Astyanax mexicanus: one gene and its partners. The protein of the gene in region 1 interacts with the protein of each later gene in a pairwise test. Links are inferred from orthologs where the notes say so. Each region holds a gene or a part of one and is shown in the gene's direction. Other genes may lie near its edges.

What was found.
Region 2: the proteins of txn2 (region 1) and rbm45 interact in binary tests that used the Homo sapiens proteins (3 or more experiments, as listed by UniProt). The two-hybrid records come from large-scale screens. The link is inferred for Astyanax mexicanus from reciprocal best matches to the Homo sapiens genes TXN2 and RBM45.
Region 3: the proteins of txn2 (region 1) and ppcdc interact in binary tests that used the Homo sapiens proteins (3 or more experiments, as listed by UniProt). The two-hybrid records come from large-scale screens. The link is inferred for Astyanax mexicanus from reciprocal best matches to the Homo sapiens genes TXN2 and PPCDC.
Region 4: the proteins of txn2 (region 1) and scyl3 interact in binary tests that used the Homo sapiens proteins (3 or more experiments, as listed by UniProt). The two-hybrid records come from large-scale screens. The link is inferred for Astyanax mexicanus from reciprocal best matches to the Homo sapiens genes TXN2 and SCYL3.

What each region holds. Positions count from the first base shown.
Region 1 is NC_064410.1:18,705,002-18,712,792, forward strand, and holds the start of txn2 (thioredoxin, mitochondrial), read left to right. Parts: upstream 1-4,581; 5' UTR 4,582-4,689; intron 4,690-5,024; exon of another isoform or gene 5,025-5,094; intron 5,095-5,139; exon of another isoform or gene 5,140-5,199; intron 5,200-5,214; exon of another isoform or gene 5,215-5,288; intron 5,289-5,289; exon of another isoform or gene 5,290-5,329; intron 5,330-6,753; coding exon 6,754-7,013; intron 7,014-7,791.
Region 2 is NC_064418.1:32,368,946-32,377,286, forward strand, and holds the start of rbm45 (RNA-binding protein 45), read left to right. Parts: upstream 1-5,081; 5' UTR 5,082-5,494; coding exon 5,495-5,764; intron 5,765-6,349; coding exon 6,350-6,472; intron 6,473-7,771; coding exon 7,772-7,898; intron 7,899-8,005; coding exon 8,006-8,125; intron 8,126-8,341. UniProt on the Homo sapiens protein: RNA-binding protein with binding specificity for poly(C). May play an important role in neural development.
Region 3 is NC_064416.1:23,550,215-23,558,491, reverse strand, and holds the start of ppcdc (phosphopantothenoylcysteine decarboxylase), read left to right. Parts: upstream 1-4,919; 5' UTR 4,920-4,951; intron 4,952-5,806; 5' UTR 5,807-5,960; coding exon 5,961-6,152; intron 6,153-7,651; coding exon 7,652-7,747; intron 7,748-7,824; coding exon 7,825-7,953; intron 7,954-8,277. Other genes in the region: hacd3 (very-long-chain (3R)-3-hydroxyacyl-CoA dehydratase), read right to left, coding at 581-654, 735-777, 4,081-4,161. UniProt on the Homo sapiens protein: Catalyzes the decarboxylation of the cysteine moiety of 4-phosphopantothenoylcysteine to form 4'-phosphopantotheine and this reaction forms part of the biosynthesis of coenzyme A.
Region 4 is NC_064408.1:58,394,305-58,401,950, reverse strand, and holds the start of scyl3 (protein-associating with the carboxyl-terminal domain of ezrin), read left to right. Parts: upstream 1-4,196; 5' UTR 4,197-4,631; intron 4,632-6,210; exon of another isoform or gene 6,211-6,215; 5' UTR 6,216-6,227; coding exon 6,228-6,392; intron 6,393-6,518; coding exon 6,519-6,704; intron 6,705-7,646. UniProt on the Homo sapiens protein: May play a role in regulating cell adhesion/migration complexes in migrating cells.

The sequences.
Region 1 (7,791 bases):
TTAGGAGAAGAAAATACCAGACAAAATAAGTTATGAACTACTTCACTTTTACACAATGTGACCTTGTTGTGTCAAACCAATAGTAAAATATAAATATATATGTACATAGTCACATTTTGATAAAGGTAATTCGATTTATTCTCATTTTGTCTGGTATTTTTCTTACAGTCCTTAACCCTTTCATGCATAGAGGTCACTACAGTGTACAGCTGTTTAAAATTGTTTTTTCTTTAAATATGCTTGCAATTTTGGGCACTGCTGCATATAGTCCACTGTAGTGGAAGCTATTGCATCATCCTATACAAAAAAATCCCATTGGTTGGTCATTGTAATGGGAAAAAGAAGTCAATGAAATCAAGATGGCCGGCAGACAGGGAAAACCACCAAACACCTTGGCTATTTTTGTTTCTACCTTTTATAAAATTATATCACTGCAGGTAAAAAAATATATAATTACATCAAGTAACATCTAAGGTGACATATTATGTAAAGATTTTCGAAATTTTGATTTTATATTTGAGGGAATTGTAGATTAATCATCTGTCCACTTAATTGTACATCATGCATCATTAGCTATTTTTCAACTTTAATGCAATGTCAATTACTTCCAGTGTTGTTTTTAAAATAATTCATATTGTTTAATGTTTTGGCTGTAAATCAACTTCTTTAATTGAGGAATGGCTGCCAGTACAGACAGTTGCAAGCAGAGAAGTAGGGTCAAGCAGTGATAGTGAAGGTGAGTCTGGAAATGTTACTGAGGGAGTTGAGGCTGAGGAACGGAGATGAAGGAGATGACGCTGTTGAAACTAAGGGCACCCCAATATCCAGTATGCCCCTGGAAACCACTGGCCCCAGCTCAAGAAAGTATAAAATGCCAGCACACGAAGAACCAAGTACATCTGCATGCAGTGTCTTGTAGCTTTGTGCCCTGTATGCTTTGGCAACCATCATAGAAAATAGTCTCAGAAATTAGCAACAAGCATGATTTGACAGGAAATATGATACATGCTATAAAATACTATAAGAGAATATGCTCACTTAACAGTTCAGAGACTTGACAAGAATACAGTATGATAATACCAGTCACAATCAAGATTCTATAAGGTTCTACGGTTCAGAGACATTTTCTTGCGTCACAATATCCTCCTCAGTTCCACTATTCCAACAGAATACCATATTACAACTGTATAACTGAATTACATTTGTGTTTTTTTTACAACAAAAAATGCATGAAGTACACTTGAGTGGACAGATAAATATTTCTTTATCGAATAAAGATAGAATATATATTTTTTTCAAACCTTGTTTTACATCCCTAAGGATGTATAAAAACACTTAGAAAAAAAATCCTGACTGAGTTTATTATAATTCATGCATGAGAGGGTTAAGGTGCCGCTGGGTGCTGGATTGTGCCTCAATCTTGGTCAAATGTAATCATATATAAGTTATGTTCAGTAAAACTAAAGTACTACATTAAAAACTGAAAAGTTCAGTATAGGTGGTAGATATAGTGTATCATTGTTTGAACATTTGAACTGACACATTTTAAGACTTCGAATTCCAGTTACACAGTACAGCGTCACTCTCACGCCCTCCCTGATTAAAACCCCTGCTCTAGAATAAACGTAATACTAGGGACGAGGACATGAAGGACTGAAAAAAGAGAGAAAGAAAATGATAGACAGACACAGAGATGGACAGAGAGGTATACGTGATTCTGGCAAACTGACAAAACTGAGCAAAACAAAACAAACCACAACCCACATCCCAGTCACCAGAAATCACTCCACACTGATTCCTCACACAGTCAGACTAGGCCAAGAACAGAGGATGAAAGAAAAGAATAGAGAGAGTAGAGGATGAACAGAGAACTCACGGCTCTGATGTTTTCCCTCCTTTCAGAAAAACCACGGCAGCCTCAGCCTCCCGTTACCATGGAGTCTCCCAGGACCGCCTCTACATCCTCCACTTCTACACTCTCTCTCCCTCTAAATCTCTCTCACTCTCTCTCTCTCTCTCTCTCTCTCTCTCTCAATCACTTGCTCACTCATTCTCTCTCTCTTTTTCTCTTTTATCCCTAGCTTGCTCTCTCTCCCAGATGAAAAGGTGGGCGACTCTTGTTTTCTCTTTTAAGTCTCTCCCTCCATCAATTATGAATGGGAGTGGTCAGTCAGTGGAGGGCAGGAATCAGCATGATAAAGGGAGGGATGGATGCTGAAGGTTCTGACCTCTCTTTAATTCGTTATATTTATGTAAAGAGTAAACGGCGCTGAGAGAGCACATGGTCTGGAGTTCAGAACCCAACAGGCTGTTGACCTTAAGCCTCCTAAATAATTATGCAAATTGGATTGGGTTTGAAACTAGGGTGACGGTTCACAAAACGCTGCAGCTCCAATTCCCCTGTCTGAACATTATTACTAGTGAAAAGCGAACTATTTAATAAAAGTAATATGTTTATTTCCTTTATTTGCTATTTAATTATCTCAGATATCGTTTCATAAATTTAATGCAAGCAGTGTCTAACATTAAATATTTTAATATGTACTTTTAATTTACTCTGAACACATTATTACACATATAAAGGAATATTAAACTTAACTTTTTACACATTGTGTCCAGTTTTCTTTAATGTGGAGCGTAATTTCTTCAGGATGGTAAATTGAATGGTGTGACAGGGTAAAAAAATATATATATATTTAGTCATAACTGACAAACAAATGGTTACATGGGGCTCCAAGTAATTCAGTGGACTGAAGTGCTGCCACTATGATCTGAGTATCGCCTGTTAGAATCCCATGGAACACTCTCTCAGACTCCATCAGCAGCCAGAGTCCAGGAGAGTAGAGTAGGTCACTCTCTCTCTGGGTGGTTACAGTAGGTGGCGCTCTCTCCCCTCATCACTCCCATTGATGCTAGTCAGTACAGGCATCCGTTAGCTAATGTTTCAGAGCTGGGTTTGCATCAGTGGCAGTTAGAAAACCGTCCTAGTGATAGTGACTGGGGGCTGTAATTGGCCTTCCATATTAAGGCAGAAAATATGAATTTTTTTTATAAAAATGCTATGGAATATTTAGTATTCTATCATGGTACCACAAGACCAATTAATTTTTTACAAACATTTATAGAAGCAAACTGCATGCCTGCCGCTTGCTTTTATACACCTGTGACCATGGAATACTTTTGGCAATATAGTGTATGTCTGATGTCTACTATTAAAAACACATTTTTTTTCATACACCTCAGAAATTGTACCTAACACTACAAGCTCAAAACAGTCTAGATTGTTCTCTTTGAACCAGAATACCTTATATCAGTATTACTTTGTTTTGTTCTCGAGTGTTTACGTGAATGTTGATAAAATAATTATATTGTTTTGTTACTAGTTTATAAGTTAAATAAATTATTATAAATTAATATAAATTATTAATTAAATAAGCATTGATACTACTTTATTTTATTAATCCCCAGTTGGGCATATTCATTTTACACAAATAACACAACTGTACAACACATATCAGTATACAATCCACTCTTAACAGTAAAACACAAAACACTACAGGGGCATTCCACTGAATGGGTCCCATTTGCTTGTTGTAACTCTTCCTTAATTTTTTTTTTATCTTTTGTCAACTCTGAATCTAGTAACACATGTATTTAACTATTCAATACATGTACTGATCAAACTCAGGCAGCTTTACTTAATTTTTTACAAGGTTTCTGATCGAAGATGGTTACATTTCTTTCAGTCATTCAAGTGACATTTAAAAATCATGTTTAAAAGCAAGTTCGCTAATTCCTTTGATTTTCTCTCAAGAAAGTGTTTATTTAAAAATATTGGTTGACTGCATGTTCAAAAAACTGATATGACATACAAATCAATCTATATGCATGCACATATTTTTCTAAAAGACGCATTGCTATTTTATCTTATCTAGAAGACCCAAACCTGAAATTGATCAAATTTATGAATATGCAATTTCTTAAACAATTGATAAATTATGAACCAAACAAAATTGGAAAAAGTGGTTTACATTAAATAATATTCACATGAATATATGGGTATAGATGGGGTAATGTGTTACGATAACAGGACTGAGTGATAACCTAGGGACACAACTAAAATGTGTATTTTAACTTAAATATTCTGTATTTATAGTGGGGAAAAATAAGCATATGTGGGATTTGGAGTCACACAACAATGTGAAAAAATTACATCTGTGAAGGATTTTAATAATTATATCTCATGGTAAAGTTTATAGTTGGAGAGGGGGGCAGGTAATAAATGCCACTTTTTCAGAGTTCTGGGTATTTTTTTATTTATGTTTTTAATTAAATATCTTACTTTTGCAATTAGGTCAATGTACAAGACTATATAGAATATGCCTACTAAGAACATATCAGTAAGAGGTGTTATACAGCCTTACAGCGGCAGGAATTAAAGATCTCTAGCCCGAGGTCAGTCTGTAGAGCTGAACAGTGTCAGGTAATGATGTGCACGCGCTGGGTAATGAACAGCTGGTCGGTGTACGGGCTGCAGTAACGGTGTGAGCGGGTGTAATACTGCGCTGGGGCGCGCGGCGGAGCTGCACGGGGCACGAGGCCCAAACTCCGCCGCTTCTACGCTCGCGGAAACAGTTCACCTCCAGGGTCCGTGCGGCCAGTCAGTGTTTACAAGCGGAGCTTCAGAAGGTGAGTAGCGCTGATTTTACCTGTACCGCGCGGGAATTACCGTCATTTAACACTTTATTCCCGTCGTTGTAGCGGTAAAACGTGTCGCTCGTGCTGCTGGCCGGACGCGAGTCTGAGCGCGAGACTAAGCGCGAGACACGCGGGGGGCAAAGTCAAGGAGGTTACAGGGGGAGGGGGGTTACAGACCCAGCACAGACAGACCCGCTAGATACCCATCAGACAGACCCAGAACAGACAGACCCGCCACAGACAGACTCAGAACAGACGGACCCGCCACAGACAGACTCAGAACAGACAGACTCAGAACAGACAGACTCAGAACAGACAGACCCAGAACAGACAGACCCGACACAGACAGACTCAGAACAGACAGACCCGCCACAGACAGACTCAGAACAGACAGACCTGCCACAGACAGACTCAGAACAGACAGACCTGCCACAGACAGACTCAGAACAGACAGACCTGCCACAGACAGACTCAGAACAGACAGACCTGCCACAGACAGACCTGCCACAGACAGACCCGCCACAGACAGACCCGCCACAGACAGACTCAGAACAGACAGACCCGCTACAGACAGACCCGCCACAGACAGACTCAGAACAGACAGACCCGCCACAGACAGACTCAGAACAGACAGACCCAACACAGACAGACCTCTCACAGACCCAGCTTGTACAGACAGACCCAACACCATACAGACTCGGCTTGTACAAACGCAGCATAGAACCTTCATACACCCAACACAGACAAAGTTTATACAGTGCTAGCACAGACCAGACCCTTCACAAAAAGAGACAGTTTATATAGACCCAGCACACAACACAGACCAGACACGGCATAGACTGACCCGGCACAGACCCAGTTTGTACAGAGAATAAGTGTTTAACCAGTGTTCATTTTTCATCTCTAATGCACTGAAGCAATCTTGATCTCTGGCATTAGAATTGATGTATTTGTGCATTGATGTAACATTTAGATGTTATATGTATTGTTTGTATAAAATGTTACATACATTGAATATGTATATTTTGATTTTATTCTATTGTAATAGATTGTATGGTGTTTCTGCAGTGTATAAAAGGATATTTAAACAATCATAAAAAATATATAAATATTATTAATATTATTTTAAGGGAGCACCTAGAAGTCAATCATGCAACATCATAATATAAGAAAAGCAATCTGTACATCAATAATTATAGTACAACAAGTCTTATTGAGAATATACAGTATAATAGTTAGATTATGTCAAATAAGAGCAATGAGGTTTTTAAAAAAAATATTTGACATTTCACAAAACATTGCACTTCCTGCGATGTGACCAACGAGCATGTGTACATTTCAGTATTGATTCTAAACCTTTTGTTGTTGTGTAAAACCTAATCTCTGTGTGGTTTTGAGAAGGACAGAGAGAGAAAAAGAGAGAAGAGGAGCGATAATTTATATTTCAACATAAACCTAGGTACTTCCTGAACTCCTGAGACTGTGTGTACGACCCTTCAGTCGTACACTCTTGAAGGTCTAGCGAATGGGAGACTCTCCTTAGCATAACATAGAGATGTTGTTATGGCTGAAAACCCTTTGTTTTGTACATGCTTTTCCCTGAACTATTGATAACAGTTACCACGTGTATACAACCATGTAGGTCATAAATATAGCATTGTAATTAATAAATTGGGGCTTAGAGATTAATCAGATTGATTTGATTAAGTAAACTCCTGTTTTAAAGCCATTTTTGAAGTGGGATAATGGAGTACATCTTTGCCATTGGAATCTCAGTAGATAGAGATTTGCTTCTGTCACAAACCTGTAAATAACAGAATGTGGCAGGGATTTACATATCTTTATGTTTTTCTTAACTGAAATACAAGGAGGTTATGTTTACACCATGTTTAATATACAATAGCTTGCGCAGCACTTTAAATTGTGCTGTCCATTTTATCAAATAAAAAATAAATAAAAATGTAATTTGTAATAATGAATCACTCGTATATTAAAAAAAGAGAGATTTTCTCTTTTCAGTATCATAATCAGTGCTTCTCTTCTCTCCTCTGTCAGATGGCTACTCGGCTCCTCGCACGGAGAATTTGGAGCGTCACTGTGAAAGATTTCCGCCGCCTGCCTGTCACAGTCTCAGCCTCTTCATCGTACTCTTCCTCGCTAACCCACTCCCCCAGACCACAGCCTCTCCTGGCCCGCTCTCACTCGCTCCCTCTGATCTCATATAGAGCCGTCTCCTTCAATGTCCAGGACCAAGACGACTTCACAGAGAGGGTCATCAACAGCGACCTGCCTGTGGTCATAGACTTCCACGCCCAGTACGTATTCTCAATGATCTGATAAGCCAATCAATTTAAGCAGCTTCAGCTGTTTGAATATTGCTGTATATAGCTGCAGTAGTAGGGAAAGCATATCCTAAAGAGCAACACAGTGAAATGACTAGAAAAAGGGAGAGAGCAGGAGTGACAGCACGAATGAGAGCAAGAGACAGTACTAGCGCCTGTGAAATTTTAGTGATGTGTGGACAACTTGAATGGTCTATGTGCAAGCTCTCCACTTTGTATGCGTCAGGGCAACGTGACGGCTGTTTTTTACTGCGCTGTGCTTGTCTCTTGATCTGATTTACCTCGCCTGCATGTAGAGCTGCGTGTAGCGCTTGCTATAGTGCTCCATGTTGTGTTAAGACGATTGCCAACAGAGGAAAAACGAGACAGAGAAAAAGAAGACCGTTTGCTGCATTTCATTTAAAATTGGAAGTGTAAATTTTTAATTATAATAAGAAATTTTAACTGGAAAGTTGGGAGAACCTTACCAACCCCAAGTTCACAATCCACAATGGCTGCCTCTACAACATCTATAGTAGCAATGCTAACCTGGGCCAATGCTAACAGTGAAAGCGGTTTGAAACGCAGAAAACTAGGGAATGACATCGTTATCAGAAGCGATCGTCCCTATAAATTTGGCAAGTGAGCTGTAGGAGTGTTCTAGTAAAAAAAAACTCCTCTTCACACTAGGAAATTCAGAATTCCCAGTTAAAATGAAATGCGGCATTCTGCCTCCTCCAACACTGCCTTTAGTGTTTCCTCAACTGTCCAT
Region 2 (8,341 bases), on another chromosome or scaffold:
ACCCTGTGCTGGGAGAGAAGGTCGTGAATCAGCTCTTAAAGGCGCTGGGTGTTTGTTTTGTTTCTGAACGAGCAGGCGCTGCTGCAGGTAATCGAGCTAACTGTAGCTAATTAGCTTAGCCAGCCATCCTCCACTCGCTAGCTCGCTGACGTTAGCTATCTTACAGCGTTATTCGCCATTAACACGCTTTAAACAGTCTTTAAATACTGGTAAGACTGTTTAAAGCGTGTTAATGGCGAATAACGCTGTAAGATAGCTAACGTCAGCGAGCTAGCGAGTGGAGGATGGCTGGCTAAGCTAATTAGCTACAGTTAGCTTGATTACCTGCAGCAGCACCTGCTCGTTTAGAAACAAAACAAACACACAGCGCTGTTTAAGAGCTGATTAAGTATCATAATAAGACCGCGCTTCACCGAGAGCTGAAACAGTCAGCTAACTAAATTACTCACCGGGACTTACAGAGCTCCGCCGCGCTACGATAATCTATTCCGGCAGGGTAATCACTAGTGGTGCTGGAGGCCCGCTGGAGGCCCGCTAGTGCCGCTGTTTTAAGACTGAGGGGCTTTAAACGAAAACAGAGGAACAGGGAAACACAGTAAAGAGCACCGCAGCGGACCTTCAGCACCAGAGTGAAGAAATACTGGATTATTTGACCCAATATATAACTGTTCCCCATAAATCACAGCGAGGCTTTGGACTCCTGCAGTCCCCATGCAGCTCCCGGAAAAAAGGACGTCTTTCTTGTGGCTACTGATTCAGTGGAGTGGAGCCACGACCATTCAAAACTAGGTTCGGGGGTTTTTGTTGCCCGAAAGGTTTTTAATTTGTGTGTTTTAATATATTCATTATATGTTATATTGTATTAAAACGTGAGATATAAACGTGAATAATCATAATTTAATAGGAACGGTGAAATATATTATTTTAAATTATATTAAATATCATGCCTCAAAATCTCAGATCTCCCCCTCTTTTCCAGTGACTTTGGTTTCTTCCAAAAGTCTGTTGATGAGAGCACGGGCGGAGCTGGACTGGAGAAACAGGGCCGGTGTTCTGTCGAATTCTGCTACCTTGTCGAACCGTGCTGCCCCAATGTATATTTAACTGTAAAAATACAAAAGAAGCACTGTTTTAGGGCATGTACCCAGTGATATTCCAGTAGATGTACGTTATTAGATTTGGATTGCATAATTCATTGTACCATGGCAAAGTTATAGTAAATATAGCTCATTACAAACTGCTTTTGTATTTATTTATGATAATAAGTGTAAATTTTAGTTTCCATTTACACTTTTGTGCAATGACAGTGCGTCCAGGTTGTTTAATGCACATAAACCCCCCTAATCCAGATTAATTATACATAAAACACGAGAAAGAATTAAATTGTGTAGGTCGGCGCATGCGCAGTACCTTTGGGAAGCATGTATCGATGGGTAGGAAAATTGACAGAACACCGGACTAAAAAAACTGTTCTTAACACACCTTGGGCTGAACAGCTGTATTCACTCAGTCGCAGTTAAATAAACTCACTGGCCATTTAGGAATCACTTAGACCAGAATTATAATAGAATAAACAATAAAATAATAAAATGTTATATAAAATCTAAAAAAAAAAAATCACCAGTGTCAGTGGCTGTCTTTACACTACAAGCCTCAAGTGTTTTTTTATTTTATATAAATTAACCTTTTTGTCAAACAGCACACATGCTCTCAGTATTTTTTGGCTGCTCTGCCAATGCTGGCTGATAATGACAGCACTAAGGGCATGAATACTGGCAAACAGATGCATGAAATCCACAAATAAAGAAATATGAAATTTGCAGTGGCCTTTTTTATGCCCAATCAGTTTGAAGACTGAGAACATATGTCTGCACTCCCCTCCAAAGGAATTGGGCGGAAAAAGCATTATTAAAAGATGAATAATGAAGACTGGGAATTGGAAATCAGTTAATTACAACTTTGTCAGTGTGTCCAGGCCCGGAGTGGCTAATCGAGAGATTCGTGAGGATTCCCGATGGGCCGGCTGTGTCTGCTGTGTACCTTGGGGAAGATGTGGGCAGTTATTAAGGAGTATATCTATGCTGGTGTTTTACCGGAGTCAAGCTATCCGCGCTTCGGAAATTCCTAGTCAAGTCATCCGCGCTTTAATCTTTGATGGGCGTATACGCGCGATTTTACGGTAAACAGACGCGCAGGAGGAGAGCACACACAGAGAAGGGGAGACAGACACGTTTCAATCGGTTAACTTATATTAATTCAGACATACATTAAGCCCAGAAACGAGAAGAAAACGGGTTAAAATAACTCACCTCACTGTAGATTTTGTGCAGTACATTATCTATGTGATATAATACCATAACAATCCCATCGGTTTTTAAGAGAGAGAGAGAGAGTTTTATATTAATATTACTTTTTCAATCCATGCTTCAAATAAAATTTCTCATGAGTTTCCCAAAAGGCCAAAACAGATCCAGTACCTCTTAAAAGAGTCCATCCTAGACTATTACCTCTGCAAATTTGGGCAAATTGCACTGTATTGTTTATTTTATATTAATAAAAAAAATGTATGCATGTTTAAAATTAAATTTCTCATGATTTTTCCATAATGCCAAAACAGATCAATGACCATTTGAAAGAGTACAACATAGGCTATGACTCCTGCAAGTTTTGGCAAATGTCACTGTATTGTTTATTTTATATTCATTTTTTTATTTTTTATTCATGCTTAAAATTAAATTTCTCATGATTTTCCCATAATGCCAAAACAGGTCCACTACCATTTGAAAGAGTCTGTCCTAGGCTATCACCTCTGCACGTTTGGGCAAATTTCACTGTATTGTTTATTGTTTATTTTATATATATATATATATATATATATATATATATATATATATATATATATATATATATATATATATATATATATTTTTTTTTTTTTATTCATGTTTAAAATTAAATTACTCATGATTTTTCCATAATGCCAAAACAGGTCCATGACCATTTGAAAGAGTACAACATAGGCTATGACTCCTGCAAGTTTGGGCAAATTTCACTGTATTGTTTATTTTATATTATATTATTTTTATTTTTTATTCATGTTTAAAATTAAATTACTCATGATTTTCCCATAATGCCAAAACAGGTCCATGGCCATTTGAAAGAGTACAACATAGGCTATGACTCCTGCAAGTTTGGGCAAATTTCACTGTATTGTTTATTTTATATTAATTTTTTTATTTTTTATTCATGCTTAAAATGTAATTTCTCATGATTTACCCATAATGCCAAAACAGGTCCATTACCATTTGAAAGAGTATTTTCTAGCCTATGACTCCTGCAAGTTTGGGCAAATTGCACTGTATTGTTTATTTTATATAATTTTTTTTATTTTTTATTCATGCTTAAAATTAAATTTCTCATGATTTTCCCATAATGCCAAAACAGTTCCACTACAATTTGAAAGAGTCTGTCCTAGGCTATGACCACTGAAATTTTGGGTAGATTTTACTGTATTGTTTATTTTATATTATTATTATTTTTTTAATCCATGCTGTAAATGAAAATTCTCATGATTTTCCAATAATGCCAAAACAAAGAAAACAAAAAGGTCCACTTAACTGTTCCACCATTAAACTGCTCAGCATATTTCTAAACAGTCTAGTCTAGAAATCACCTGTTAAAGACACCTGTGCTAGAAACAGGGGGTGTGAGTTTAAAACCATCACCTTAAATCCAATACCTCAAGTGCAAGGGGCTATCTATAGTGAAACCTGCAGAAATACGCAGTGCTGATAGCCTGAGGAACTGATAGGACTGCCTCACAGTGGCCCTGTGATGGCTTATTGGAGAAAGACTTTACATCTGATACTAGCAAGTATTAAAAATAAACAAAACAGTGAAATTTGCCCAAACCTGCAGAGGTGATAGCCTAGGACAGACTCTTTCAAATGGTACTGGACCTGTTTTCAAGGATTCAAGGAGATTTTACTGTCATTCGTATCACATTTGGTTCATGAGGTGGAACGAAATTGTGATCTCACGATTCAGTTTACACCCAAGAGCTGTTGTTAAAATAGATATATAAATAAAGTAAGACAACAAAATAAAAGAATACAATAAAAATAGAATATAACAAAATGAAGATAAGATAAAATAAACAAAACAGTACAACTTGCCCAAACTTGCAGGAGTCATAGCCTAGGACAGACTCTTTCAAATGGTCATGGATCTGTTTTGGCATTATGGGAAAATCATGAAAAAAAAATATTTTAAGCATAAATAAATTTTTTTTAATTATTATAAAATAATCAATACAGTAAAATTTGCCCAAACTTGCAGAGGTGATAGCCTATGTTGTACTCTTTCAAATGGTCATCGACCTGTTTTGGCATTATGGGAAAATCATGAGAAATTTAATTTTAAGCATGAGTAAAAAATAATAAAAAATTAATATAAAATAAACAATACAGTGAAATTTGCCCAAACTTACAGAGGTGATAGCCTAGGACAGACTCTTTCAAATGGTAGTGGACCTGTTTTGGCATTATGGGAAAATCAGGAGAAATTTAATTTTAAACATGAATAAAAAAGGGAACGCGGTGTGTGTGTGTGTGTGTGTGTGTGTGTGTGTGTGTGTGTGTGTGTGTGTGTGTGTGTGTGTGAGGTGGAGAGAGAGAGTAACGCACAGTGACACAGGATAAGTAACTTTAATCTGATTACTGCATTGGATATAGTAACACGTTAGATTACTCGTTACTGACATCACTGGACATAAGTACGTAAAGACATGTGACGTGGCCAGAAGAACACCTGCGACCGACACCCCAGTTTTAAAATTAATATATTAGGCTTAGCAGGGATGGTTGGCAGGGGCGTAGCAGCAAATTCTGGGCCCTGTACACTCTCAATGTCAGTGGGCCGCTATCCATGCCAGTACACAAGGAACATGAGCGAAAAAAAAAAATCTGGACTTTTCATGGGCCCCTCTCCCTACTTCCTTGATAGTCAGGTCCACTTTTCCTCCCACTACCACGCCCATGTGGAGTGTTACAGACAAGCAGCTCTCCAGCCCAGAAGGTTGATGAACAAACTTGCAGAACAGTAGATCTCAAAACAAGATGAAAGGAGAAAAAATAAACAGAAATGGGATTGAGCCGTAGTGTACTTGTTACTTGACTTCCCACCTCAGGCCAGGAAGAGGACTTTTATTTTGAAGTGTGAGCCGCTGCGTAGGTCTCTGTAGCTAGGGAACCTGCGCAGACCGATTATTTATGGAAGCTAAACTACATGACTGCAACAGAATTAACGTTAGTGTTTTCGGTGTCATTGCGGTTATCTGTTGAGAAATTTAAAACGTTATTTAATTAACTAAAGGTACGCTAAGCTCATTTGTGCAGCTCTGCGGTTTCCATTTCTGAAATCCAGTGGAGAGAACAGCTGCAGTAAAGCTAAACCCTCGGCTAGCTTGCAGGGCTAGCACAACAGCGGCTTCAATATGGAGGAGATCACCAGGACGCCCTCATATCTCGACGAGCCCCCAAATAGTCGGTTGTTTCTTGTTACCAGCAAATCCATCACCGAAGATATAATCCGGGAGCATTTTTCCACTTTCGGAGACATCCAGGACATTTGGGTTGTAAAAGACAAACACACGAAAGAGTCGAAGGGCGTGTCGTTTGTTAAATTCTCCAAGTCTTCTCAAGCATGCACTGCGATGGAGGAGATGCACGGTAGATGCCTGGCTGAAGGAACCAAACCCATTAAGGTGTGAATTTATTTCCATTTGAGTTTTTTTGTTCTCCGTTTTATTGTGGAGCGGTTTGCATTCTATTGTAGCTAGCTTAGCTGAGAAAGCTGTTATGGAAAAGCTCTGTCTCCAGTAGGGCTATTATACGCGATAATACCGATAATATTTTTTAATATCGTGAACGATATTATACCCTGAAATATCGTGCTGTCACCCACCTCTAATTATCACTTTTTATACTACTTTTTTTGCAGTGTTAAGCATATAAAAAATCACACTGTTCTCATTTCCTTTTATGTATCTACTAGAGACGTGTAAGATTGTTTTTTTTTTTTTCTTATTTTAGAATTATTGATCTTAATCAGTCTATAATCACTCTTAATCCGTCTATAATTTCCCCCTTAGTTTACAAAATTAATTAAAAATAAGAACTGGATTCTTGAATCCAAATGTAAGCCAAAAGATCAGTGATATTTGCCCGATTAAAGTCTTACTTCAGTCATTTACGAAACTTTTTGTCTAGTTTTTTTTTTTTTTGCCAATGGATTTTTTACAGTGTAGTCATCTGTTTTTTTTTTTTTTTTTTTTTTTTTGCTTGAACAGGTATTCATTGCCCAGTCCAGGTCTTCTGGAAGCCACAGAGACGTGGAGGATGAAGAGCTGACCAGGATCTTTGTAATGATCCCAAAAACCTTTACTGAAGATGATCTGAAAGAGACTTTTAAGGTACTACCTGGACTAGGGCTGCATCAACATGTGTGTTTGTGACATACACAGCTGATGTTCAGTAATAACACTTTTATTTAATATTTATATAATCCCTAAACTAGAACCACCTAGTGTAGCATTGTGGAGAAATTTTTTAGATTTTTGCTTTTACATGCTTCACACAAAATTGCCATTGCAAAGCACAAGAGTGTGCCCAACTAGAAACAAGACACAGGAGAATAGGGGATAGCTCAAGGGCAGATTTTATCAGCTGCAGTGACAAAGCTACTAGAGCTTGAAAATAAAACGTTTCCTAACAAAAAACATTAAGCAAGAAAACATTGATTTGCCTGGAGTGAAGATAATGGATGGCAATGAAGAAAAGGAAATAATATAATGCACTAAACTAAGAGTAAACCCAAACCTCGGCCCTAAGTATCTGACTAAATTTACAATAAGCAGTGGCAGCCATGTATCTCTTAGTGTCTCTAGACCAAATCTCCAAGGCTCCATAAGCTTCCTAAATAACATAAGTTAAAAAAAACAATGTGGAAACAATATAATAATAAAAAAAATCTACCCCTTCTTCAAACAGCTGCATCTGTCTGTCATTAGGTAGAGTGTTACAGTAAAATAAAATCATAAACATGGCACAAAATAGGAAAACTGAAAGGGAGTGAGCAGAAAAAAACAACCCAACGCTCCGACACGTAACAAGAGGATATGGAACGAGAAAATGAAAGAGTAAAATTAAGAAGTTAATTATAAAAGCCTGGCATCGCTTAAACATCTTGCTCTTCCAGAACACAATAAATCTGTCACTGAATATTTTCACACTTAATCAAACCTTTAGTGTGATTATCTGTCTTATGCACTGTTATTCAATCCCAATAGTAGTAGAAAACATTGTAAAGGCTTATTGAGTGTCTATGCAGGGCAATGATTATTAGGAACACACTCTAGCTCATTTCAGCATTTTAGTGATTTTTTTTTTTTCTTCTTCAATTTACTGATGAGTGGAATCAAGTGTGCTTCAGCAGAATAAAACAGTGTCTAACTCCTACTGAACAGGAATAAATGACCCCTGGTTTCAGTTAGTCTCATTAATATTTTCTGTCAATAATCATATGGCTTTAGATTAATCATAATTGAACACATTTTAACTATAGAAAATTCATCCTCTATTTGCTATTCACTTGTGTGTGTTTGTGTATGGGCTCTGCGTGAAATAAAATCTCAACAGAACTTGTTCTAGATTTTATAGTAAGTTAGTTGTATTTCACAACCATGATGCATTCCATTGTTTTTCCTTTACAGCCCTATGGAGATATCGAGTATGCAATTATTATTAAAAATAAAACTACAGGGGAGAGTAAAGGACTGGGCTATGTGCGGTTTCACAAACCCTCCCAAGCAGCCATGGCTATTGAAAACTGTGACAAAAGTAAGCGGCATGATTATTCTTTTCCTTTACAATTAATCCTGTTATCCTGTTTACGAACGATCCTGTTTAACAATGAAAATTTAATGGACCTTTTTGGATTCATCCAGGTTTTCGAGCCATACTTGCTGAACCTCGGACAAAAAATTCATCTGCCGAGGGAGATTGTCTCACCAGCTCAAGACCGGATCATGTAGCAAGCGAGCAATGCTTAAGTGCCTATTCTTTTGGTAAGTATTTAGCTCATGATAATGCAGTTACTCTGACAGTTTTCTGTAAGGTAAATGTTGTTTTTGAGAAGGATGTAATAGCAAAAAACTATATGATTTGATTTGATTTAGTTTGTTTCAGTATGCATAATACATTACTTTTAAAATACAAAATTTGAATATAAAGAAATTTGCAATTTGACTAGGATTTGAAAAATGATTTAAGAAGATTCCTGA
Region 3 (8,277 bases), on another chromosome or scaffold:
TGAAAATAATTGATAATTTTCCCAATAATTTAATATGCTGCAAAATAATAAAACATAAAATGCTTAAATAGCCACATTTATATTTGTTGTACATATCACAAATATGCTTTTTTATTAAAATGAGCACATAAGTAGAAATTGTGCACATAAACTCAAAAGTTATTTTACAAGCAGTGGACCTGTTAAGTAATTTTGATTAACAATCTGACTACAAGTAAAATTTGGCACAAGGCTGTATTTTAAGCATCAATGACCAACTTCAATGTCTATATAATTTATATAAATGAGTTCAACAGTCCTATAAACACATTTTAATGCACCCTGAAAATGCCAAAAAGCTGTACAAGGGATCACCTGGAAACTGTTCAATTTTAACCAAATTGTGCCTGTTCAAATGTAAGAGAACTTTTTTTTTATTGAACACTAGATACAAATAAACAGGTCTTAAACCCACACTGTAGGTTTCTAACAACATCTGCAAACATCTATAGCTATACTTTCCAATGTTATCCATTAATGTTTCCATCTTCCCTGTCAAATGAAAGTAAATTCCTCATGAATTAAGAGAAACTCAACCCACCTCAGGTTTCACTGGTTTAAGGAACTCCAAGCTGAACTCATATTCATTTTCTCCCTTGGCTCCATGACCCTGGCCTTGAAAAACAACAAAATAAAGTTTAAAATCATGAGAGATGATTCATAGAGTAGCTCTATTAAAGGCAAAACTAACCTACCTCTGAAGCGGAGGACGTTCTCTTGAACACTAATGTCCAGGTTCTGCAAAAGAAACAAACATCACTGTGTGTGAGATCCGCCTGCAGCGTTCCAGCTTTGCATTTTGTGCCTACTACTTTAAATACAGATGAACAAAAATACAGGTCAGTGCTGTTATTGCATAGGTTCAAGATGAATGGTGAAACTACTATCACACCTGAAACAACGGCAAACTCTAGGACTGTTCATTGGTTTAGTTTAGAGGTTCTTACACTTTTTAGACCATGTACCATCTTAACTTAAACTAAGACTTCAACGTACCACCTGCAAGTCATTTCATGAGAACACATGTGCCAAACACATCCACTTATACACAGCAGGATAGATGTGGCCTCAACACATCATGCTTTTATGTCAATGGTTCTTCTTAACCAATTGTATGGAGCAATAAAAATGAAGTGAAGCACTTATCACAAACAACCGTTCTAAAAATTAAAGGTTTTGGCACCAGCAACAGCAACCACAAATGTATGAATTAAGATGTCATGTAATGAGTTAAAAACAGAAGTGCCTAACAAATCTAATAAACTCCAGTATCTAATCAGCCTTTCACACAGAAATGGACACCCAACATTAACCTATAGCTTACAACAATGAGTAGTATTATTGTCTCAGGTAGTGAATCTTAGAGCAAGGTGACAAACTAAAGAGTAATAAAGTCTAACGGCCTGAGAGTTAAAGCTAGTGTATGCATGCATAGCAGGTCACCATAATTCAAAAAGCTAAAAGGAAAGTTGCTTTAATAAGCATCTTTCTACAGTGCAGAGGGGAAGCAAGTTTTATTTCAATAAAGGGAAAACTTTTCACAATTTGCTCACAAGATAAGTTTTATAACATCTACCAGATCAGGTTAATCTTCAGGCTATCTTCATACACAGTGTCTTTTTAAATGTGTGTTCCATCTTTGGTAAAGATAGTGAGTTAATACCACACAAAATAACACAAACTCAGTTTTATCTGCATTAAAAAATTATTTATGGTTATTGAGTGCAACTTGTAAATCATTAAAGTTCTGTTGTGTAAAGAACCATAAATAGTTACCTAGCAACACTGCGCCAAGATTAACAGCCTATCCTGAAGGCCTTTGGCGCTATCCTTATTTGCATTAAACCTGTATACACAATACAGGACTACCTGTAACCGTTCTGTGGAAGCAAAACAATACAACCACTATCAGAGTCTGCTGTGACTACATATGTAGTGTAGAACATACTGTAATTAAGAACACCATTAAAATTGTGACAATATGACAATTTGTGGACAATTTGTTTTGTTCCCATTGTAAATATTATTGCTAACTTAAGAGCTTCACTAATATAATCATAATGCTATTGCACCTTAACGTAATTAATTACACTTTTTTATGTAGGTAAATTAAAATTTAAATTAAATTAAAATTTTAAAGAGCCAGGCACATTTAATGATTAAGAGTATTTAGATATTAGAAATATAAACATCCTAAATAAACAAAAAGTCGACATTCCAGCTTATTCACATGATTAGGTTCTTCTTCTATGTAAATACAAGGAGCAACACTGAGGTCCACAAAAAAGATTGAAGTAACTGTATATCTATAAATTATATGATATGATGACAAACTAAACTAAACTAAACAACTACACAATAAACTACACAATTACTGTGATGGGCCTACTTTGTTAATATGCAAAAACATGACAAAATTAATTAACCCAAATAAATGCTTTCCCTGCGTTGACTGATATTTTAGTTATATGGGTCTTAAAATAACATTATTGAGATTGTTGAGTCCAACCAACTTTTTTCTTAATATTTTAATAGTATTTTGTTTTAGTGTATGGTAAGATATTGCTTCCTAATATAGTTGCAAGTCTAAGAAGCGCCACCAATGCACTGTGTAAGTGTTTTTTTAATGAATATGGTTCTTTTAAAATAATAATACTCACTAAATATCAGTACTTTCCACATTCACACATCTTCTAGGAATTTAAATCAACTAATCGAAAAAATAATCATCAGATTAGTCGCTTAACAAAAGTAAATAATTAAGAGTGTATGGTTGCTTCTGAGCAGATGGTCTCCTTATACAATTGAATGTCTGCTGCAGTGTGTAAATGACAAATGTTGGGGGAAGGTAAGAGGTATTGGGTATTTCAGGGAAACAACAATCCCTATATACAAGCCTGGTGTTCCCATCCAGTGCTCTGTAAATAAATCATGACCTGAAACTGGGACTGGACCAGATGGCAGGTGGTTCACATCTTTGACATCTGGTCATTTTTCTTTTAAGGCAGTGACTATTTGCACTTTGTACAAGTAGCATTTGCAACACAGGGGGGCTAATTGCACCCCTTAATTTAAACTTTTGCAGTGCAGTAATTACTGGAAAAAGCTTATTTGTGGGTAAAATACAGCAAAATATCTTTGTAGAGCCCAGGATTTATGCATTAGTGTGGTAGTTAAGCAATGTCAAGCTTTTAAAATAAAGATTAGTCAAATCGGTTCTTGGATTTTAAAATGGCCATTGTATTCGAACAAAAGAGAGATTCTAGTTGCTAAATTGTGAAACTAAAATGCAGATTTAAGAAAGTACAATGCCAATAGTCACCATCATGCAAAACTTTGTATCTCAGTTTTTGTTTTCTTTCTTTTTTACATAATTTGAATTTTTCAGTTGTTCTTTAAATTGTGTAAAAACGTCATGGTTAATAACTTGGAACAAACGTTTTTTTTTTGTACACTGACTTCCATATAAATATTTTAGTAATAGTACAGGCTAAGACCTAGACGCAATTATTACACACTGATAACCCACACCTGGGTGGAAATAGCGTGTGCCTTTTTAATCAGGTGATTGTTGGGTAACACAGACTTTGAACCCATACTTTGCACTAGATTAATAATGTCTATTTATTCATACTTCACTTCTAACAGTTATTACTAAAGTTGTTATATAAAAAGTATTATTTAAAGTTACACACATCCCACCTGTAAACCGAGGTTAATGGTTGATATTATAGCTGTAGCTCGTTTCTTATTGTCAATAGCTAACGTTAGCTCTAGCTAACTAGGTAACGTTAAACTGTTAGGTTAACTGAGTGCAGAAGGAAATGATGCGGATAGAGCTGAAACACGGTCAGAAATCACGCACGCAGAAACGGAGCAGCTCCATTACTGTCTATATAAGCATTTATTTAAGTGTGTACAGGTTTATAGCGTTAAGTAAGCTGTTGAATCGCTGTTGGACCGGTGTTTGCGGGTAACCGGTGGCTAGCCGGCTGTAGCTAGGTTAACAGCCCCGCAGTCTGAGGGAGGAGCTCCGCTTACCTTGGCGTCGCTGATCTCCACCCGCAGGTAGATATCTCCGTGCCGCTGAGCCCAGAACACGTGCGGGGTGAGGGTCTGCATGGCGGGGATTCGCGGGCGAGTGCTGCCGTCTCCTCTACAGCTCGGGAATGAAGGATGAAGAGCGCCGATACATACCGAGCGCCCTGCCGGAAGACAGCGCGAGCACCAGAATATTCGGTGAAGCGAGTGCGCGCGTGTCTGCGCCGCCAAGAGGCGCTGTGCTCGCGCACGTAGCCGCGCTGCTGGAGTACAGTGGTACAGTACTGCACTGCACCAGAGAACTTCCACCGAGGAGAATACCTAGTCAGCCCGAAATGCAGACTTCCCAAGTTGAAAAAAACTTGCACTATACACTACTGAGACCATATATTATATTATAGGACATAATGTATTTTCTTATTTTTTCAAATGTTTTGTTGCACACTAATTGAGATCTGTTGTTCATCAGAATAGACTATAAACGAGCCAATGAAACAATAGCTTAGCCCCGCTCACTACACTAAAAAACAGCACTAGGAAGATTTAAAAAGCTTTTAAATTAGTGTTTAGGGTTAAGTACAGGCTTCCAATCCAGTAGAAATAAAAACAGTTACTTATTTAATGTTTATATAGATTTAATATTAGAATATTAGTGTGAATTACAGACAAAACACAGCATTATTAATGTTTATATTTTCCCATCACTGTCACATAATTTAGGTCTGAAAGGGTTAATACAGGGTTGATACGTGTTGGTGTAGTGAAGCCTAGGGCCGCTAGGAGCGCTGTTTCAGTTTCACTCCGCCTATCTCAGCAGTGTTGACGGAAGTGAACAGATACAGCGCTTTCTGAGAGCTCGGGGAAGCCTCAGGCTGCGTCCAGAAACTTTTGCTACTCCTCCTCTCCTACTCCTCCTTTCCTACTCCTCCTCTCCTACCCCGGAAGAAGGTGGAGGAATCGAGGAGAGGAGAGGAGGAGGAGGAATGGAGGGAAGGAGCTGTAATTGGGGAAATGGGACAGCTGATCCCTTTTAGATAGGATGTTGACTACCAATGAACTGAGCCAATCACGACGCTCACTTTCAGCAAGTTTCAGAACATTACTATCACACACAGCTAAAAATTCAGATATTCCAATAAAATCCTGTTTACTCCCAGCCGCATTTTTGGCCGCATCTCTGACCAGTGACCCTGGCAGCCCTGTCTGACCTCAGCCTTATGAGGGATTCAGTTCCTCATCAGTCCCTAAGTTAAAATAAATAAGTAAATAAATGAATTAATTAAAAATATATATATATTATAAATAATATATGTTTTTATATGTATAACATGATACACATAGGGTCATAAATATAGTTTTACTGAGCATACAGTTTATCTAAACTATAAATTATATTACTGGCTGTTTAATTAGATAAGGAACCTAGTTAATTAATATGTTTATGACGTATATTTGGGCGTTGCCTTCCCCATTTTCGCGTGCTCTGTGGGCGTGGATGCAGTGATGTCATTGGAAAATCCTTAAAAGTCTTCCGGAGTAGGATACACTGATGTAACCTCCGTTGGAAGCCTACTACAGGTGGATTTTAAGCGGCTTCTTTCGTCTCCTACGGTATTCGGACAGGCGGCAAGATGGCGTCACGAAATCAGTTTCCGGGTCACGGAGGAGAGGAGGAGGATCGGTAGGAAAAAGGAGACACTTTTGGGGTTTCTGGACGCAGCCTCAGTGTTGTTTAAACTGTGGTTTTGTTTTATCGTGTGTTAAAATGATTATAGATTATGCAAACGCGGTTTAACAGAGCTGTAGATCATGAGCGGAGACACAGTTTAATGAAGAGTGACTGTGAATACTGAGACAGAGTTTAGATGTGAAATGAACGAATGTGTTATTCTCCTCTTCGGTTCACTCGGTTATACTTACAGTTAATAATGCAGGCGGGCTCGGTTCTCCCGGCTCTGGTACCGGACCTGAGCTCCAGCGGGTCGCGGTTCCGTGTTCTTGTCTGTGTGACCGGCAGCGTGGCAGCGCTGAAACTGCCTTTGTTGGTGTCGAAGCTACTTGAAATACCAGGGGTAGGTTTATATAAGACTGGGTTATTAGTTTAAACAGTAACTTAGAGTATTAACTAGTTAATCTCTTAACAGGCAAGCACTTTTGTCAATTTTCTGCCTGATATTACACACCTAAATTTTCTATTCAAGCATTACATAAAAAAGGTTTTATGTTTGATAGTAAACGTTACTTCAAATTCTAATTGAAATTGTAATAGACAAAAAAAAATGAAAGTAAATCTGCAACAAAAAAAAAGCACTTTCCTAAAATTCAATCAATATTTTCCTGAATACAATTCAAACAGTTTATGTTTATGTTTTGTTATGTTTGACTAGTTTTTACATCTTTTTTCAAACGTGCAGAATTTTGGTTGATTCCTGTTACTGATCTGGAATTATTAAATGGAGTAGAAAGGAAACAGGCAGCTTCTCCAAGTGACCTGTAGAAGTATTTTTACTGCTGGGACAGAGGACAGGCCATTTTAAGGGGTTAACATGAGTAAACGAATTAATCTAATTTAGCTAGCTGGGTTAATAGTTTTGTGTTTTTATAGTCAGAGAAATCAGTAAACATTTTGATTCCGTATTAGACTGATTAATCCAGCAGAGGGCGCTGCATGAAAACACTAAATTTAATAGTCTAACTGTTTATGTTCAGTGTGCTATTCGGTGGCAAATCACCATTGACGTGATTACTTGAAATGGCAATCACATCGACACCTTCCTAAAACAAGTATTTCAGGAAACACATGAAAAACATATAACAGTTAAATTAATTTTAAAGGCCATAGTCTTTTTTAATAACAATTAACTTTATATTATAGTAAATCCCTTACGAATCACTTAGCAATTGGGGACAACCCTTAATCGTAAAGATTTTATTTAAGTAAATGTAGCCTCCAGCTTGGAAAGATTGTTATTCAGTGGCAAATCAACATTGACATATTAAGTTAATTTCTTGAAATGTCAATTACATCAACACATTCCAAAAATAAGTATGTCAGGAAACATAAAAAATATATGACAGTTGTTATGCTTTTTTTTTAAATATTCAATAGTTTAAGAGGATAATTTATCATACAGTCGAACAGTAGAAATTCAGAGAAATTATGCATTAAAGTTGAACTAATGTCTGCATCACAATTAAATGACCACCTGTGTTCTTTATTTATAACCATTCAATCTAATAATGAACTTCTAAGCCACCCCATTTAGCTAACCAAGTATGTTTAAATTATTACTATTTATTATTTGTATCAGGTTGGATGAATTGTGGTTGGATATGTGTGAGCAGACCTGGAGACCTGTGTTCTCTGGTGTAGCTTTTAGATGCGCTGAGCTCTTCAGACATCTGTTTTTTATCACTACCACAGTGAACAATCCTGACCCATTAGGTTTCTTTTTAAAACACCACAATTCACATCAGGCCACTCAAATGACTTTGCTTAGATTTTAATGGCAGTAGTTAAACAGCATTTTTAAAGGATCTAATGGGTCAAATACTGACTTTTCTTCTGAAGATTGATGTCCGTGTAGTCACCACAGACCATGCCACCCATTTTTACGACCTTGCTGAGGTTCCTGTCCGTGTTTACACAGACAAAGATGAGTGGGGGGTGAGTACTGCCTGTTTTACACAGATTTACTGCTCCAAGTCATGAGAAGATCTTCTTGTGAGTTGTATGTGTTGCAGATGTGGACGACGCGTTCTGACCCCGTGCTGCACATTGAGCTGAGGCGATGGGCCAACCTGCTAGTCATTGCTCCACTGGATGCAAACACACTGGGCAAGATAGCCTGTGGTATCTGTGACAACCTCCTGGTGAGAGATTTATAAAAATGTGTACATACCTAGAAACCACATCAAATGAAGCTCCACTCATTACTAACTCATGAATCTGTACTGCACCACATCTGAACTTGAGTTATGTGTTTGTGAGATTTTTTTTGTTAGCTGTCTCATTGCCTGTCCACTGATTCATGATGATTCATTATGAGTCATGAGGGTTCTATTGCTGGAATGTGTTGAAGGGGTTTTTTGCTAATTCTTGGGATGTTCTTGTTGACATTCTGTGTCCTATTGCCTAAAAATGTTAAATGAAGGAAGTAACTGATTATTAAAGGTACTGTATATGATTGGAGAAGT
Region 4 (7,646 bases), on another chromosome or scaffold:
TGCCGACCTGAGGGACCTTAAAGGTACATGCCTCTCAATCATACTGCAGAGATATAAAGGAGCAAGACCATGTAAACACTTAAAAGTAAGCAATATTATTTTAAAATCAATTCTATATGATACAGGCAGCCAGTGCAACTCTTTAAGAACGGGTCTAATATGATCCCTTATCTTCACACGTGCTAATACTCTGGCAGCTGCATTTTGGACCCTCTGTAGGCTTGAGATAGTGCTTTTAGGAAGACCAGCAAGCAGTGCATTACAGTAGTCCAGGCGTGATGATACAAATGCATGCAAAAGTTTCTCACTGTCAGTTACTGTTAAAATACGTCTGACCTTAGCTATATTACGAAGATGATAAAATGCTGTTCTGGATACATTACTAATATGCCGTTTAAAGCTTAAGTCATAGTCAAATGTGACACCAAGATTTTTAATATGGTCTTGGGTTTTTACTGATAGGGACTCTAAATAAGATACTGCTTCAATACGCTCGCTACCATTTCCAATGATAATAAATTCAGTTTTATCATCATTGAGCTGTAGAAAATTATAAGTCATCCAGGACTTAATGTCTTTTAAACAGTCAAAAATTAAATCAATAGAACCTTTGGGGTCAGTAGCTAAAGACATATTTAACTGAGTGTCATCTGCATACTGGTGGAATGAGATATTATATTTACTGACAACTCTAGCCAGAGGAAGCATGTAGAGGTTAAAAAGTACTGTTCTTAAAATTGAGCCCTGGGGAACACCGTGAGTAGAAGTACTTTCACCCAATGTCACATAATATTCACGACAAGACAGGTATGACCGGAACCAGTTTAAGACAATACCTGTAAGACCAACCCAGTCTCTTAGACAGTTTAGCAACACACAGTGATCGACTGTATCAAATGCAGCACTAAGGTCAAGAAGAACTATTATAGACAAATTTCCAGCATCTCTGTTTAATCTGAGATCATTCAGAACTTTGGTTAGAGCAGTTTTTGTGCTATGATGTGCTCTAAAACCAGACTGAAATGTTGCATTCAAATCATTACTATCTAAATATTGTTGAAGCTGAAGAGACACTACCTTTTCGATAATTTTACTGCCAAAGAATTGAGCAAATTCATCACATATGCGATTAGAAGGACCATTGAGAGCATCTTGAGCAGCTGCATCACTGCCTGGTTTGGGACCTGCACCGTCTCTGACCGCAAGACCCTCCAGCGTATTGTGAGGACAGCTGAGAGGATCATCGGCGTCTCTCTCCGCTCCATCACGGACATTTACACCACCCGCAGCATCCGCAAAGCAACCAGCATTGTGAATGACCCCACTCATCCCTCACACGAACTGTTCTCCCTCCTGCCTTCGGGAAGAAGGTACCGCAGCATCCGGTCCAGCACGACCAGATTCTGCAACAGCTTCTACCCCCAAGCCATCAGACTCCTTAACTGCAGAGACTGAACTGATGGTTTTTCTGTACATGCACACACACTCTTACCCCACTTACCCCAGAAAATGGAAAGCACTAAAAACCCTACTACCTCACTGGACTCTATTGCACACTGTGTAATAGAGTAATTACTACCTCACCTGGTCTTTTTTGCACACTGCAAAATTTGCACACTGTCTTGTTATTTATTATTCTTTGTCTGTATTGTGTTGTATTGTCTGTCTGCACTTTTGTACTGTTGCACTATTGTTCTGTCTACACTGTGTTTATGTGCACCATGGTCCTTGGAGGAACGTTGTTTCGTTTCACTGTGTACTCTGTATATAGCTGAAATGACAATAAAAACCACTTTGACTTTGACTTTGACTAGAATGCTCTAGTGAAATGTGAGGTGAGTGGTTAACCAACTTGTCAATTGTGGAGAACAGAAATTTAGGATTATTCTGGTGCCTATCAATCAGACTTGAAAAATAGGCTGCCCTTGCATTTTTGATTTGTGAATTAAATTCAATTTGCAGATTTTAAAAAATTTCAAAGTGCACAGTAAGTTTAGTTTGTCTCCATTTTCGTTCTGCTTTCCGGTAATCTATATTTAACTTATTTATTGATGCAGAATTTTTCCACGGAGCTTTAGGAATATTGTGCCTCTGTTTTGTAATTCGAGGTGCTATAGTATTTATACATTCATTTAATCTTAGTATAAAGCTATCTACCCGTCTGTCACAGGAAGTAGCCTTGATAGGTGATAAAGTGCTAAAAAGATCACAGAAACTTGACACTGAGTCATCTGTAAGGTAGCGCTTTGTACTAGTTTTCCTAGTCGTTTTAAAGCTGGCATGCGCAGAAAAGGTAAAGAAAACACAATAATGATCCGAAAGTGCCACATCAAGTATGTTTAACACCTTAGTCTCTACCCCAACGTTAAAACCAAATCTAAGGTGTGGCCATGTTTATGTGTAGGGCCAATTACATGCTGTGTAAGATTAAAAGAATTTAACAGCATAGTAAAATCACGACTAATATGATTAGACGATTTATCAAAATGAATATTAAAATCACCTGTAAATAAGATATGGTCAAAGTCAGTCATTATTTTTGTTAATAAATCACCAAATACATTAAGAAATGCAGGGTGATATCTAGGTGGATGATAAAGTATAATAATTAAAAAAGACTGTTTGCCACTAAACTTAATTGCAAGATACTCAAAAGTACTATATTCCCCAAACCTCTGTTGTATAAGGCATATCTTGCTATGATAAATGCATGCTACTCCCCCACCCTTCTTATTGACTCTTGGAACATTAAAAAAACAGTATTGAGGTGGGGTTGATTCATTTAGAGCAACATTGTCATCACTGCTGAGCCAGGTTTCTGTCAAAAAGAGGATATCCAGCTCATAGTTCTCAACCATTTGACCTATTAAAAAAGGCTTTGCTAGCTAATGATCTAACATTGAGGACTGCAGCACTTAATACCTGTGATACCTCTACTTGTTCAATTGGCTTTAATGTAACTAAATTAGACCTAGCTGATCTGTAAAGAGTGTTCTTATGGATTTTACGACCATGCCACCAGCTATTGCATAACACTGGGATAGTAGACAGTCTCGTAGCATGGTTTCTAGCATGTCAGACTTCTCGCTCCTCAGGAGGTGGTGTAACACAATATTGTGGGTTTTCTGGTCTGTTGTTAATACAAGACCATGTTGCATGATTGATGTCGTACAGTATGTTTGAGTGCAGAAGCCGAGATCCAAGGGAATTGGGGTGTACCCCATCTTGTCGAAAAAGTTCACCACGGTCCCAAAAGATGTTAAAATTGTCAATAAAATTCACCCTGCGATGGGCACAGGTGGAGGAAAGCCAGCTGTTCAGCATAAGTAGCCGGCTGAAGCGCTCATTACCCCGTTTGAAAGCAGGAATCGGCCCAGAGATAAACACCTCAACAGGAGTACTGACACTGACAACAAACTACAGGTCCTGGATAAAAAGTTCTATTTTGGTCTCATCTGACCACAGAACTTTCTTCCATGACTCCTCTGGATCATTCAAATAATCATGGGCAAACTTAAGACGAGCCTGGTCATGTGATAATTTAAACAGGAAAACCTTCTGTGCCATACATGACTTCTGTGCCAAACTATGAGGTCTTAGTGTATTACCTACAATAACCTTGGAAACAGTGGTGCCAGCTCTCTTCAGGTCATTGACCAGCTCCTCCCGTGTAGTTCTGGGCTGATTCCTCATCTTTTTTAGGATCATATGCCACAAGGTTGGTAGGTGTTCGGATAGTTATTTGCAGCAGTAACACACAAATAAATTATTAAAAAATCATACATTGTGATTTACAGATTTTTTTTAGATTACGTCTCTAACAGTGGACCTAAGATGAAAATGTTTGACCCCTCCACTTCTACATTTCTAGAATGGGAGAACTTGCAAAGTCGCAGGGTGTTGACTGTATGTCACTTAGGAACTTCATAAGTTAAGGTGAAGGAGAGAGTGCTGTAGAGAACTTTACACAGATTTTAAAGGAGCTGTCACACATACCTCACCATGGACTCTTTTGGGTTAATTTTACTAGAGTGTATGTTACTCTGTGTCTCTCTTCTTTAGCTTCAGTAGCTACATGTTTAGTGTACTCCTCCATTGGTTTGGACACCTGTGCTTGTGAGCGTCTGACACCTGCATGAAGTCTAGTGTTGTCCAACCTGTAGCCTCGCTCACACCACCGCGGCATGTACCACTGCTGCCCTGCTGGAGGGAAAGAGACAGCGCTAGTTTAGTCTTTTAAAGTTCAGAACAAAGTTCTCGACTGTAGATGTACTAAATTACAGACCTGTGTCTGTAAGGATTAATCCAGTACCGCGCGCTGTGTGTGTGTGAGAGAGAGAGGGGCGGAACAGGGCGCTGGGGGAATGGTTCGGTCCCGGCGGGCGGTTGGCCGGTGTTTATGACTGGGGAACAGGATGTGCGCTGGGCTGCGGGGATAGAGAGTAGGCTGGATGTGTTAATGCTGCCGCTTATCACAGCAGCTCTGTGTCTGCTCTCGGTAATTAACAGTTTGCGGAGAGTCCACCTGACCTGACTGGAGCCGGAGTGTAGAGCTGCAGGTCAGGTCGACATGGGAGCCGCCGGAGAAATCCACTGATTCACTGAGCTGAGGAAGCGACACGGCCGCGCAGGTACCAGCCGGAGGAACTTAGCCTAGCCTAGCCTAGCCTGTCTGACATATACATTTAGTTGTGTTTTGATAGCTAGTGTAGCGTGTCCGTGCCTAACTTAGCTTACATATAGACATATTTAGCTGTGTTTTGGTAGCTAGCTTAGTTTACATATAGACATTCAGCGGTGTTTGGTAGCTACCGTAGCCTAGCTTAAATACACATTTAGCGGTGTTTTGGTAGCTAGCCTAGCTTAGCCTAGCCTACATAGACTTTCAGTGGTGTTTTGGTAGCTAGCATAGCTACACAGCTAAGAGAGCTTAACCAACTAAGTTACAGGCCATAGATTACCAAACTCTAGTGCCCCGCTGGGTGACAAGGTACTCTATTGTTTTAAACGACATTTCACACTTTAGAAATCAGAGAGAGAGAGACAGACTGTGTCTAAATCTCTTGTGTATTTGAGAAACATAACTAACTCCCGTTAGCTAACGTTAACTTTAACGTTAACGTTAACCTGTCAGTTTGGACAGTCTGCTTCCTGTTCAGTGAGAGGCAGAAGTTAGTTAGCTAGTCTCTTGTCAGACATTAGCTAATAGGCCTTGCGGGTACTGGTCACTCAGTAGGATATTTATATTTTTAACTAGATTATATAGCCTAGCTAAGCTGTGCTTTTTTTTACTGGCAATGTCTGTTTTCCTCTACCAGCAGTGGAAGTTCAGAAGCTAATTTAATTTGTTACAAAAATAAAGCCTTTTATCATTTATTTCCAAAGGCTTACCATTCATGATGTCAGTTAAACGTGTTTTATAAATGTATATTTCGCCTTTATCTCGGGTTAATTTTTTGTTAACATAAGTAGGTTAGTAGGTTTATTAAATAAGTATTTTAATTCTTACGTCCCAGAACATAACCACACTACTCTAGCATACCTAATTGATTTTGAGAAAGCGCATCTCACACAGCTCTAAATGAAAATTCCAATAATATTCAGTATTTCCAGTGATATTCAGTTTACACTACACACCTGGCTTATATGTTGGTATAATAACGATGATGCAATTAGGGGTGGGCGATAGTACAATATATTTTATGGTATTGTGATAAATTCTATTATGGTGAAAAGCAGTACATTTTCTCAGCAGTTGCAGAGAGTCTGTCAGTTTTAATGCGTTTTGTCTGTATGCCAAAATGTTGGCCTAAATATTGTGTATTATTAAATGACTTTAAACACTGTGATATAAATATTTGTGCCATATTTACTTTGCAATTATTTCCATAATGGTAATTATCTGGCTATTTGGCCTTGCATCTTCCTCTTACTCATGATACTACTTTCTCATTTTAATGTAAACTGTTTAATGTGATAGCTCTATGTGATCCAGCCATTTCAAGCATTAAACACTCTGGATGCCTGGTTCCTATTACCAAAAATAAACAATTTTGACAAGAACTGAGCTTTTCAAACCAAAGAATGACCTAAATGACAGATTTAATTAAAATTTTAGATTTCTTAATTCGTATGTTCAATAAGAGCAACAAGTCATCAGTGGAATCTAGGAAGTCAGGCAGAATTTTCTATTTTTTTTTTCCCTGACAGAGCAGTTGGCTGCAACCATGGGTGCAGAGAGCAGTGCCCTGCGGAGCTGCATCTTGGAAGAGCCGTTGCTGACGCTGCCTTCAGGACTCACAATGTACTCTGCCATCTTACAGGATGGAAAGGCTGCCTCTGTGTTTGTCTACAAGCAGGGCAATGAAGACAAAGTCAACAAAGCTGCCAAGGTATATTAAGTCAGAACCCTGACTTGTCACAGATGTGAATCTTTTATATGTTTCTTTGTCCATGTTGAGCATTGTCATTATCGGTGTCCCAGAGGGAAGTTATGCTTTTTCCCTATTGCCTTTTAGCACCTGAAGACTCTGAGGCACCCAAGCCTGCTGCGGTTCCTCTCTTGTTCTGTACAGAATGGAGGCATTCACCTGGTAACGGAGAGAGTTAAGCCGTTGGAGTTGCTGCTTGACAGTCTCACGCCAGAAGAGATCTGTGCAGGCATTTATGACCTGTTGCAGGCTCTCGTCTTCCTCCATGACAGGGTAAGGTCCATGGAGTCCCTTAGTTTGGAACAATAATTAAATATATTAATTGGTTTGTTAGGATTAACATTAGATTGTACTTGCTGTTTATAAAGACAGTTTAAAGGATAATAAAAATGCTGAAGATTTTTTGTGCCATTAGAAAAAATAAATTGCATTAAATTAACAACATCACATGTGTAGGTTTATAAATATCCACACAAGTGCTCATTGTTCCTAAACTGTCTTTTTTATGAGATTTTTAAAGGCAAGCATTTTGTAATTCTATAATTGCGTACTGACTGTCTGTTTCTCTGCATAACTTTAACTAGGATATTATTATTATTATTATTATTACTATTATTATTAATGTTTTGACATGCAAAACAAAGTGCATTGGTAGGAACATATTCTTAAAAACAGCTTTTTATGTATATAATTTCACATGCCTAGCACAGGAAAATTGTATTCAAATTGTGCAGCACATCATCCAGTTAATTTAACAGGACTTATTACACTCTTTGTAATGAACTGTGTAGTTGGTTAGTGTTCTTCATGCCTTGAAGATAACCACTATATATTCACTGTTACAACCCCATTTGTTTGTCTAGGGATAAGAGGGGTATGTAACATTGTGGATAAGTTTAATGAGTGTATGGGTGTGTGAAACTGTGAGGGAGAAAACAATAGACCAGAGAAATTTCCATTTAACCATTTACTGAAGTCACAGCTCAATATATACAGTGACAAAATCCAAGTCCAATATTTACAAAAATACAAAGTTTTCAAAAAGATACTTAAATGAAAACAAAAACAAAAAAAAAGGGCTGAACTTAGGACGGCACCAAAGAAAAGAACTTAACAAAATAAACCAAATCCCTAAGCTAACTTAACAAAAAGAATAACAACTTATCTAATGAAACAATGAAAACAAAAACTAACTACACTAAACCTAATATAATA